Oryctolagus cuniculus: one gene and its partners. The protein of the gene in region 3 interacts with the protein of the main gene of each other region in a pairwise test. Links are inferred from orthologs where the notes say so. Each region holds a gene or a part of one and is shown on either strand. Other genes may lie near its edges.

The links.
Region 1: the proteins of EPM2A (region 3) and PPP1R3D interact in a two-hybrid assay, tested with the Homo sapiens proteins (2 studies listed by BioGRID, with this or other methods). The link is inferred for Oryctolagus cuniculus from reciprocal best matches to the Homo sapiens genes EPM2A and PPP1R3D.
Region 2: the proteins of EPM2A (region 3) and PPP1R3C interact in binary tests that used the Homo sapiens proteins (3 or more experiments, as listed by UniProt). The link is inferred for Oryctolagus cuniculus from reciprocal best matches to the Homo sapiens genes EPM2A and PPP1R3C.

What each region holds. Positions count from the first base shown.
Region 1 is NC_091442.1:2,547,132-2,551,401, reverse strand, and holds the start of PPP1R3D (protein phosphatase 1 regulatory subunit 3D), read right to left. Parts: upstream 2,867-4,270; 5' UTR 2,436-2,866; coding exon 1,539-2,435; 3' UTR 1-1,538. UniProt on the Homo sapiens protein: Seems to act as a glycogen-targeting subunit for PP1. PP1 is essential for cell division, and participates in the regulation of glycogen metabolism, muscle contractility and protein synthesis.
Region 2 is NC_091446.1:38,806,624-38,810,998, forward strand, and holds the start of PPP1R3C (protein phosphatase 1 regulatory subunit 3C), read left to right. Parts: upstream 1-1,524; 5' UTR 1,525-1,798; coding exon 1,799-2,178; intron 2,179-4,141; coding exon 4,142-4,375.
Region 3 is NC_091436.1:22,737,560-22,741,159, reverse strand, and holds part of EPM2A (laforin), read right to left. Parts: intron 2,075-3,600; coding exon 1,833-2,074; intron 1-1,832. UniProt on the Homo sapiens protein: Plays an important role in preventing glycogen hyperphosphorylation and the formation of insoluble aggregates, via its activity as glycogen phosphatase, and by promoting the ubiquitination of proteins involved in glycogen metabolism via its interaction with the E3 ubiquitin ligase NHLRC1/malin.

The DNA of each region.
Region 1 (4,270 bases), on a different chromosome or scaffold from region 3:
TTACTGAATTTTATTTTTGATTGCAATCATCAAAAATAAAATGGTTCAAAGACAAAATGCATCTCTCAAATAGTCACTGGACAAATGCCAATAAGCGGTCACAAATTTAGCTAACTCACTGGTGGCAGGTATCTTAAAGTGGATCCCACGGTTTCAGATATTTCAAATCAATTCCATACACTGGAGACACGGTCCAACACGGCTGTGTTTCCCCCCATGCCCCAGCTCCAGCCCTGCTGTCCCAGAGACCACTCAGCACCAGAACTCCCCAGCCTCGCAATGGGAGCTTCCGTGGCACTCTGCAGGGGACAGGAGGCTTGACTGGCTGGTTGGAAGTTGTTTTTTTTTTAAAAAGTATTTGATATTTTAAAATTTGAAACAAGCCCAGAAAAGGTTAGGCAGGAAGTCTCCTACCTGAAGGCACAAAGAATAAAGTTGGCAGGTAGCTGATAAGACCCGGCATATAAATACAATTTAAAACCACTGAGGAATATAAAATTTGTGAATTATTTTTCCTCCAGTGCTCTGGCCATCGCTGAAAACAACCTTCTAGTCCCATTTGCTAACTGGACTTCCCAAAGATTAATGCCAGAACCTCCTGATGCTGAAGAAGAAATAAAAAGAACCAAGAAGGCAATTTCAAAGGGCACTGTTGCCTGAAAACAGTAGGTGACTACCTGAAAATCTAAATAACTTAAGGCAGTATTTCTTAGAATGTCTAGGTAGTTTCGAACCTAAACGGAATGGCCTGATGACGTGCAGATACACGATTCCTAAACACACAGGACAGAAACACATGACCTAAGAGTGGCCGCAGAAAGGGCTGTTGGGTGGTTCCAAAGTCCGCAGCCCCTTCCCCGGCCCAGCCGGCTGCCTCAGGCCCGGAGTGGTTACGTGACGCTGATGAGACACACATTCTTCGTGCCTATTAATAGATTCCCGCTTAGAAGGCTGCAGACACTGGCAAGCCGACAGGGTCTCGGGTTTTCCTTGTCCCTGGGCAGGGATGCCTGGAGCAACCAGGATGCAGGTCAGGGCGCACGGTTTGTTCACACTGGGCACGGACACATAACAGGACATCTGCATATTCCTGAGAAGGCATCCACTACGGAGAAAGGTCCCGACATCACGAAAATAAATAGCAGCCATGTTTACGGACACACATGCAGCAGGCCCTCCCGGCAGAATCCCGGCCCTTCAAAGGAAACCCTGCCTCTGGGCCCCAGGCTCCGGCACCCCAGCACCCCAGCTCGGACGCAGCCCAGCGCGGCCCTCCCGCCGCCTGGGGCTGCACCAGAGACCGGTGGAAGAGGGGCCTGGCAGCTCAGCGCGGCCCTCCCGCGGCCGGGGGCTGCACCAGAGACCAGGTGGAAGAGGGGCCTGGCAGCCCAGCGCGGCCCTCCCGCCGCCGGGGGCTCCACGCGAGACCAGTGGAAGAGGGGCCTGGCAGCCCAGCGCGGCCCTCCCGCCGCCGAGGGCTCCACGCGAGACCAGGTGGAAGAGGGGCCTGGCCGCTCTGGGGGCCGAGGCGCGCAGGCTCAGATGAAGTGGATCCAGCTCTCCTCGCACTCCCCGCGCGGCATGTGCAGTGCGTGGTTGCGACACGTGAGGCTGTAGTCCTGGCCGTCGTTGTTGTCCCAGTACTCGGCGCCGGCCACGCGGTAGCGCAGCGCGAACTGCACGAGCGAGCCGAGCTGCAGCAGGAAGGGCGGCACCGGGAAGCCGAAGGCGAAGACGTCCTCCGCGCCCTCGGCGCCCGCCGGCCCGCGCCACCGCGCCGCCGCCTCGTGCGCGCTGCGCCAGCCCGAGAAAGTGTAGCGCACGGCCACCTGCTTCTCGAAGGCCACGTTGCGCACGCGCACCGTGCCGCTGATGCCCAGGTCTGAGCAGGTGACGCGCTCCAGGCACACGAGCTGCCGCCGCAGGCGCTCGCCGAAGTCGGCCGCCTCGACGGGCGGCGGGAAGTCGGGCACCAGGCACCGCAGCGTGAACTCCAGGTCCTGGCTGCTGCAGCACAGGTCCGAGTTGATGGCGAGCCGCGACAGCACGTGCAGCGGCACCGACGGGTCGTCCCCGGCGTTGAACACCTTGACCTGCGCCAGCTCCAGCCCCAGCGCGTCGGCGAAGCGCACGCGGAGCTGCCGGCTGCAGCCGGGTCGACACGCCGCGCCGGGCGCGCCCGCGGCTTTCTGGCGGCGCTCCGGGGAGCTGGGCAAGGAGCGCGCCCGCCGCTGGATGATGGGCCGCAGCCGGGGGTCGCAGCCGGATGGCGCCGGCGCCAGCAGCGGCGCGTGGCCAGGGCTCCCCGGGGGCCGACAGGGCCGAGGCTCCGGGGCGGGGCCGTCCAGGTCCGAGAGGCAGCTGAGGCTTCGGGGGGCGGCCTTCCGGGACCCCGGCGCGGCGGGCAGGACCGCGGAGTGCAGGCCTCGGGACATGTCCTGGCGTGCAGGCGGCAGAGGGAAGAGAACCGAGGGGCGGCCTCGAGGGGCGGCGTCCACTCCCTGCGGGCCCCGCCGTGCCCAGAAGCGCTCCGGGTCCGCTGGATCAGCGACCTGGGGGGGACCCCGGGGTCTGCTCCGCCCTCCCTTCCTCCGCCACCTTGTTCCTGGAGCCGTCGCCCAGATCCTCCGCTTCTCGCAGGGACAAGAGCGGTGCCGCCAGCGGAGGCTCTCCGGGGTCCCGGGGGAGCGAGGGGGCGCGCCGCTGGGCTTCCCTGGGCCCCGCCCGGCCGCCGCCTCCCTCGCTCCGCAGCGACTTCCCGGCGCGCCTCCGCCCCGCCCCTCGTGACGCGGCCCGCGGGCCCCGCGCCGCCCGCGCCCGGGCCGGGCCGTGCCGCAGCGCGCCGCAGTCTGGCCTCCGCGCGGGCGCCGGAGGAAGGAAGCGCGCGGCCGCGTCACGTGTCCGCCGCGGTCGCGGCCCGGGGCCGATCGGTGTCCGTGTGCGTCGGCGGGGCAGTGCGCGCCCGGACCGCAGGTGGTGCGTGCGCCACGCGAGCTCCGGGCCCGGGGCTGACGGTGGGGGGAGGGCAGGCGCCTCGGCCGGCAGCTGGTTCCCGGGGTGGTTTGGGCGTCTGCGGACAGGTCCCTGGCGCCTGAACCGAGCAGCCACGCCCGCGGGAGGGCAGAGGCGTCCTGTCCGCTGCCAGGGGCTGGGCGGGGGCCGCCGCTCTGCGTGCCGGCAGCGGTGCGCAGAGGGAGGCGTGGAAACGGGGTCGATCGCCGGCGAGCAGCTCCGCGCCTGGGCCGGAATCTGGGGCTCTGAGCTCTGGGTGCGAGCCGGGAGCTCCAGGGGTGCGGGGAGTTCGCGTTCTGTATCCTGGGCCCCTGCGGGCGTCCGTGGCTCTCACCCAGGAAGCGTGCGTGCGCGCGGCGCAGACCCTGCGGCCTGGGCCAGGAAGTGAAAGCGAGCAGTGAGGGGCAGCAGGCCGAGCAGGACGCCCCTTTCACTGTCCAGGGAGAAAGCCAGATCCCTGGCGGGGGGCCGGGGAGATCCTTCCTGCCCCTGGAGCCTCAGGCCGCCCGCCCTGTGACTCATTTGGGAGGAATGATTTTACCACCCCCGCTGCAAGCTGATCCGAAAGCCTGACATGGCTAACGGTAGAGAAAACACAGGAGAGTTTCAGGAAGAATATTAAGATCTGCAGCCCCGCCTCTTTCCTGTTTTAGGCAGGCGGGGGTGCTACGGTGGACAGAAGTGTTCCGTTTTTAATAGGCCACTTGGAGTGAGAGAGGGCTGGCGTAGCCTGAGCCAGGGACGCCAAGTTTCAGGGCTGACGTCATAGACTATGCATGACTGTGTTGGTGGCCTATGGTAGATGAAGGGGTGAGGAGGGCTGGTAGAAAGGGGCCTCCCCCACCACGCCCCGCGCGGGGCCCTGATGTGCAAGCCTGGTGATTGTTTCTTGAGTGGCTGTGGGGCTGTGGAGCTGGGTTTCTCGCACACTATCTCCAAGGAGCGTGTATGTGGGTGCCTGGTCAGAGAGGAGGGGAGGCAGAGTATTCACAGCTCATAGGTGCAGTCTTGTCTCCAATAGCCCGGTGATACACAAGCAGAAGAGTAATATAAACTGTAATATGAAACAGCGTCCTTGCCCAGGAGCCCGCGATTTGGGGTGCTCACAGCCCCCGTGTTCCAGTGTGAGGCAAATGTCAAGAACCACCGTGAGTGGCTGGGCCACCTGCAGGCAGCACCTCACAGTGTCCCGTTGCTTCCAGCTGCGGTGCTGGGAACTCCTTTGCAAGCATAAGAGGAATAAAGACGTTCCCTCCGC
Region 2 (4,375 bases), on a different chromosome or scaffold from region 3:
GCTGACTCCTCTTCAGAGAGCGCTGTTTCTCTCAATCTTCTGTTTGAAGGAGTTGAAACAGAGTGACTTTTGTGGCGTTAATCAACACCAGGGGGCAGGAGAGAAAGTGGAGTGAAAGGAAACAAGTACAAAAGGATGTTGTGAATAATGGCTGAGGTATGTGAGAGCTTCCAGCACAGTCCTTGTGCCTGGCAGGAGGGCTATACATGTTGAACTATACTTGTTGCACATTTTAAAATCATTTAAAAATTACTTCTTAGAGAAGTCATCCATGTTCACTGTAGGAATTTTTAAAAATACAGAGAAGCTAAACATCAAAGACATTTTTAGTTACTCATAAGTTCACCACCTCAATAAAAGTACGGATAACATTTTAGTGAAGCATATTTTATTTACTCTGCATGCACATCTCTCTCCCAAAATGAGATCACAAAAAATTCTTACAATTTTACATTTCCCCATAACATTAGCTGGTAACATTCACCTTTTAGCTCAAGATATGATTTTGGGCAGAGGAAAGGACTACCCAGGCTTCCAGTTTGGGCTCCGGCCTAACCAACCCCTGGCAAACAGCTTAGCGTCTCTAGGTTTTAGGTTCCTCCTCTGTGAAATAGGTTGATAACAACGTTACCACCCATGTGACCTATGGCACCTTCCCCCTGCACGGTTTTTCCGGCCAGGGTAATTAGTGGAAGAGATTCTGGTGCAGTGGGGCTCGCTCTGGCATCAGCCAGCTCCACCTGTGAGGTCCTGGGTAGGTCTCGTGCCTCCTCAGTGCCTCAGTCTTCTTTTCTCTAAAGTGGAGTGAGACACACTACCTGGGGTTGTTGTGAGACATCTGTAGACAGAGCAGGGTCTGGCCCACAGTCCAGAACCATTCTGCTGCCCCTGTCTCCCACCGGAGGAAACCGAGACCACGGTGACCAGATCCACGGAGCTAGGAAATGCCACACCCAAAGCCCGGGCCCTGTCAGCTGGTTTTGACTGAGCTAAAAGGCTCGAATCCCTGCCCCTCACTGGTTGTTACATTTAAAAAATGAAGCCCAAACCTGAAGCATCTTTCCCAATTTCTTCTTCCACATTTTAGTAACTCCACTTTAACCGTTCCACTGCTGACTGTTCTTTAAAAGACAGCGTGATCTTTTTTGTACATTTTGACTGCTGGATATTTAAGTAGAGCAGAACTTAGATACAAGTTTTATAAAGACAGTTTATACTTAGAAACTTAATTTCAAGGTTGGGACGAATGGTCAAAAACCGCCCCCAACCAGCACAAAATAAGGAAAGCCCAGAGAAAGGCACTGGTGCTGGGAGGGCCGTGAATGTTCGCGTGACATTTTAGCACTGCTAAAGGACGTCAGAACCCAGTCCAGGGAGTTGGGTTCACCACTGGCTTTGGCTGGCCATGTGAGTGAAAAAGGCCATTTCATTTCTGTCTATAGTTTTTTCTCCCAGGGAGAAAACTGAAGAATAGATCAACTTACAAATTGCCTTTTAATTAAATGCTGTCTTATCGTTTTATAGGATCTGCGTGTTGAGAGGGTGGTTCCTGGCACCCACTATGATGCATTCGTGGATTCACCCTAAGCGAAACACACACACACACACACACACTCAGCCAAACTTCTCCCCGCGGAGGCTAAGGTGCGCTAGCACACCAAGCAACGAACAATGCAAACGTTGAAGACGTCGGGAGCCAGCCACAACTTGCTGTGCTCAGATTCAGCCGTGCACACACCCGCAGACGGATTCCCGAGGCGCTGGCTGGTGAGCTGGGCGCCGCCTCCCGGCTCCTTGCATGACTTGCCTGCACACCCCCTCGCCCAGGGTTCGCGTTACGCCGCTCAGTCCAGCTGGCCTAGGAGTCCCCAAATCCCGGGGCTCCCAGCTGGCGCTGGGCACATTCAGCCCCGCAGCTATCGCGTCCTTGGGGAGAGGGCTCGAGCTGCAGCTGGGCGCTGGTTGGTCACGCCAGCGGGCCCGCGGCCCGGCGATTGGTCCAAGGGATCCGTTCACGTGGTTCCGAGCAGATAAGCTGTCTCTCTGGCGCCTGACCCGCAATCTGCGGGAGCGACCTGCGAGGGGGCACTGCTGGGAGCTGCAGGGCGAAAGTGCGCAGGCAGCGGGGTGCAGGCTTTCGCGGTCAGCCCCGCCTCTCTGCCTCATGAGCTGCACCAGGTATGTTGGCTGCGACTCTGCAACCCCCGAGTCAGGCGAAACGTGCAGATGCATGCAGACTGGAATGGGGTGGGGGCGTTTTCGTTCTGTCGTTTCTGCAGATAGAGACCCCAGAGGAGGGCAAGTTGACAGATTGCTAGATTGAATCCGGCACTCAGGGGGCCTGGGAGGTACGGAAATTTGCAGTGTGTGTCTTAAGCAGAACGTATGTTGGCAATCAGCATCCTTAACCAGAAACTGTTTAAACCTGAGTCAGCTATAGTTCCATCTGCCTCACTGATAAGACTTCTCTTTTGGTCCTGCAAGTCTGTTCCTCGGACGCGGGCAGCCGGGCTTGGGGGAACAGACCTCTCATCTTGTTGGTTAGATAGTTTAGTTTGGTGCAAAACTACTGGACGCTTTCACAATCTTATCACGGTTCGCCATAGCAAACTCGGTCTCAGAGTTGGAGCAAACTATTATTTTTAACTCTTGGCCAGGACTGAAAATTCCAAGGAAATAGCCCAGTACTAAAACTGTCTTTCCATAAATGCAAAAGACAACAAACAAACCCAGGCTCCCATAAACTACTTTTAATAGCTTGCCCAGACATAACTTAGCAGAAGCCTTCTCTAAAAATCTAGCCTGTTCATTATTATTAGACCCAGAGTGATAGCTTTAGCTTTCATTTGTTTAAGTCTGCAGGTCACCCAGAAAAATCCCAGCGCTGATAAAGTGAGTTCTGCGAGTGCTCCTTATTATTCATTTTGTGAGAATGAGCGCTTGCTTGGTGCTTGGAGTTGCTCTAATGAGCAATGAAGGCAGACTTGGAAATATTGTGCACAGGATACACATAGCTCTGAATCCATAAGGCTGAAATACGGGGGAACTCTCAATCCCATGCCCTTGGCCAAATGTAATGTGAACCAAAGACCAGAAAAGCCTTCTTGAAGGATTCTTCTTGGTTTATTGCTGAGCATAGTTATGTTAAAAATTTTTCATAGCTTTAATGTCTTTCCGCTTATAAATGTCCATCACCAAAACATTAGAAAATATCCAAAAAAGTACAAAGACAAAAATAATTGTGAAATCCTATCACCTAGAGATAATTACTAACTTTTTAGTTTGTTTTCTATAAAGTTTTAAAATATTTATAAGTTCAAATACAATATATAGTTTTTAAAAAGCCCAATTTTCAGGTCATTAGTTTTCCCACTTAAATGCGGACTTGCCGTGGGCATGTTTCCATAGGAAATACAGGTTATGCAAATTTTTTCTTTAAGTGCCTGAACTGCTGACTTGTTTCAGTCAGTTACTTCTGAAACATGAGGAATAACATGACAAAGTGCAAAGGTAACTTTCTGCCTTCCATTCTCCCTAGCCTTGTCACTCTCAAAACCACTGCATACAAATTTTATTAATGAATCTTTTTTCTTTCCAAGTGGCTTACCTTTCCAAAGCAGCATAAATCATTGAGCAGCAAAATAAGCAAAGGCAGCGGAGGGACTGGATCTGAGGCTTCCAAACCTCTCTCATTGTTAGACCCACCTGGAAGGCTTTCTGAGCATCCCTGCTTCCTTTGCTCCATCCACAGGGGTTCTAAGTATTCAAATTAAGAAGAAAGAAAACCAACCGATTCTCAAGGTCACAGTGACTAGCCAGGGTTGAGAACCATCTCAGAGCCCTGGTTCTTAAAGTTGTGTAGAGATCATTACGTTTCCAACACTTCTGTTTTGCAGAAGGAGAAACAGAGACCCCTCCCACCCCTAAAAAGTTAAGCAGTTAACCCGCAGCCCTGCAGTCAGCCGACAGTGAAGGTGGACATAGGATGCAGGTGGGCTCACCTAACACTGCCGCCTCCTGCTCCATAGAACAGCACCTGCCTGATCCTTACTACATGGCTGGAATTCAGTCTGCACAAAAATAGTACTTATGAAGTAAGGACCCAGTGCAGGTGATGACCCCTCTCCCTTTTACATTCCAGAATGATCCAGGTCTTAGATCCACGTCCTTTGACAAGCTCCGTCATGCCAGTGGATGTGGCCATGAGCCTTTGCTTGGCCCATTCGCCCCCTCTGAAGAGTTTTCTGGGTCCTTACAATGACTTTCAACGAAGACATTTTGTGAATAAACTGAAGCCTCTGAAACCGTGTCTCAACATAAAGCAGGAAGCCAAATCGCAGAACGGCTGGAAGCGCTCACACAACCAAGCCAAGAA
Region 3 (3,600 bases):
CCTGTGATACTCAAGGTCATCCATTGTGGGAACCATTGCTCTCTGAGAGAGAAACCACCTTCCCTGAAATTCATGACTTTGTGTAACTTGAGTTGATCATGAACCTGAGTTCCTGAGACCCTGTGGGTCTCTGCATCTGCAACACCCTGCATCTGGCTGCCAGCTGGGAGATCTATGCCATGCCACTCCATACTCTGGTCTCCTGAATAGGTTACTTAACTGTTTATACCTCAGTCTTTCTCTGCAAAATGAAGATAACAACAATATATGTCTGGAGTCTTGTTAAGAGAATTAAATAAGTTAATGACTGTAAATTGCTGAGCAGAGTGTTTGATGCACACTGTGTGTTTGGGCAAAAGAGCTGATGTTAGACCTGCTTCCTGCTAGGCACTCCTGTCTTCCTTCTTTCCCCCAGACCAGCAGGTTGCACACTCCCTCAGCCAGTGCCATTTCCACAGCTCTCTGCTGCCCCCTGCTGATGAAGGATTGATACTATTGGTGTAACTTGCTTCTTTGCTTAGGTAGCTTTGTTTTTGTTTTTGTTTTTGTTTTTGATAAGCACCCTGTTCTAAAACAGGTGGAATTATGCACCATTCCTTTAAGATCTCACATCTCTGTGCCTTGGCCAGTGCTACTTCTTCCATCCCAAATGCCTCCCTCCTTCCACATACACCTGTCAAGGCTATGGCCACCTCAAATGCTCTAGCATGCATGTAGCATCTCTATGTTCCTCCCATGTACTGCACGTTAATCACTCCTTCCCTCTGCCAAAAGCATGTTAGTCATTCCTCTCACATTCGTTTTGGGCTTGTTTTACTGCATCCTACCAGTAGATCAAAACTATGCCTTCTTTGATTCTGCTTCCCTGGCAACACCCGCCACACTATATATCCCCTCTCACAAAGCCATGATAAGCAAGCACCTGTGCAGTAAATGAATTCTCACTCTCACCACCCTGCCTGGGCTGCAATATCCCATATTACCTCCCACTTCGATTAGTGTGCTCAGCTCCTAACTGGCCTCCCAGCTCCACCTCCAATCCATTTGCTACATGCAAAGTGCACTTTTAAAGAAAAAAAAAATGGACCTCAGCATTTCCCAACCTCCCAACCACTCTACTGCCTCTCCTTGCTCTAGAGTAAAGTCTAAAGCATTGATTGTGGGCCAAATCCTGCAAGATACTCTTCGCTTGCTCTTTCATCAGCAGCCACATTAGTCTTCTAGTTCCTGCAACACTTGGTGCTGTCTCCTGCTTAGGGATTCTTCTGTGTAGGCCTGGGGCACATTCTCCCACCTCATTCTTCCCCGGAGCTCCCTTAAGTCTTAGCTCAAATATCACTTCCCAAGAAAATCTTCCCTGACCTCTCCCTAAGTCCAATTGCTTGTTCATCCTCCCATAGCAATATCTACATATCTTCTAACAAAAAACCTCAACATAGCTTTAAATTTGTGTTTTTAGTCATTTGCCTAGCACTTGCAATATCTGTAGGACCATATACTCCACAAGGAGAACAAGTGCGCCTGTCTTTTTTACCCTCATGTTTCCAGCCAACAGCATAATGCCATGCAGATAACAGATACACAATAAATATGCTGAAGAATAAAAATCAAAGCCACATTAAACAGATGTTCAGTCAAACCATCAAAAGGCATGTGTAAAGTACACTAAATCTAAAGCCTTATACTTCTTTATATTTATTCCATGTCTGCCTTTCATGTTTCAGATCCTTAATTTAGATAGATGGATTCATCAATGCCAATCAAATGATAGGCAAACAGCAGAAGTTTCTCTGAAACACACCAGCAAGGGGCTAGAATGATTCAATCCTTACCTTCGGTGCTCATATCTGGTGTTGGCATCCAGATGTAGACCAAGCCCTCTTCCTTATACAGCTTAATCATGGTGTCTGGAGTCATGGGTTCTGAGTAGCGGTTACAGCCTGAGGAGTTCTGGACAATATCCCATTCAGTCTGGAAATTCATTATAGCTGTAACGCCCAATTCATGCTTCAGTTTGATGGTTACATGTTCCACTTGGCGAGGGCAGCTCCCCAGCCAGAGATTTGGTAGAATTCTAATGAGAACATATGGGGTTAACTATTATTATCATTCTAATTTGAGGTCTAAGGAGCTGCATAAAATATGTAGTGTTAAAATGCAATTAACCTTTAAATCTGGCTTAAGAAAAGCTGGATGTTTAAGAATATGAGAACTGATATTATTATTAAAAGAAAAAAGGGTACTGGTTTGCTGTTTTGGGGAAAATACATAATTCAATTAGCTAGAATGACAGGGGTATTAGCCAACCAAATCTAGCAATATGTTAAAATAAGTCCACCAAGTTGTGCTTCTTCCATGAATGCATTCATTACAAAGCCGATCGATATATTTCAGATACTAATAAATTATAGGTGAAAACTCCTATATTAATACATTCTGAAAAACATTGGCTAAATTCATCAGCCATTCCTATTTAAAATGCTATATAAAAATCACGAAGAGAATGAGGCATTTTAAATATGCTACAGACCAGAAAATCACAAACAATAAACTTCTTCTAAATAAAAATCAAAAATCAAGATTAAATTGGAATTGGAATCCCCTGGTATGCTTCCAACTCCACCACTTGGGGCAAGTCAGCCTGAGCATGTCCCAAATTATACATCTCTTCCCTCTCCCATTCCCACCACCATGTTCAACAGAGATCACATTTCAGTTAATTTTCAACACTTAAGAATAACTGTGCATCAATTTCAGATCTAAACCAGTCATATTAACAATTCAATCCCATCGAGGTGGCATGTACCAATGCCATCTCACTGTTCCAGGTGATCAGTTTCAGTTCACAGTTGGTCATGGTGAAGGGACTGGGAGTCAAAGGGAGCACATAGACAAGTCTAGTACCTGCTAACGCTAACTGATGGAGTAAATAAAGGGGAGAGTGATCCAACATGGGAAGTGAGAATCTCAGCAGACTCATAGAATGGCAGATGTCCTAAATAGCACTCTGGCCTCAGAATCAGCCCTAAAGGCATTCGGAGCTGGCTGAAAAGCTCATGAGAGTATTTCAGGCATGGAAAGCCAAGACACTCTGGCAAAAGATCTCTGCGAGTGAGATCCCAGTGGAAAGAACAGGCCATCAAAGAAGGAGGTACCTTTCTCTGAAGGGAGGAGAGAACCTCCACTTTGACTATGAGCTTGTCTAAACAAGATAAGAATCGGAGAACTCAGAGGGCTTCCATAGCCTTGGAAACTCATGACTGGAGCATAGGGAGATTACTGATGCCATAGACAGGAGTGTCAATTGGTAAAGTCAACAACAGGAGTCACTGTGCACTTACTCCTCATGTAGGATCCCTATCCTTAATGTGCTGTACATTGAGATTTAATGCTATAACGAGTACTCAAACAATATATTTCACTTTGTGTTTCTATGGGGGTGCAAACTGTTGAAATCCTTACTTAATGCATACTAAACTGATCCTCTGTAAAAAAAAAAAAAAAAAAAGAAAGAAAGAAATTATCAACTCCCAACTTGACTCTCACTGGGATTAAACATGACAATAGGTCTGCTCTGATTTCATCATCATTTTAAAAAAT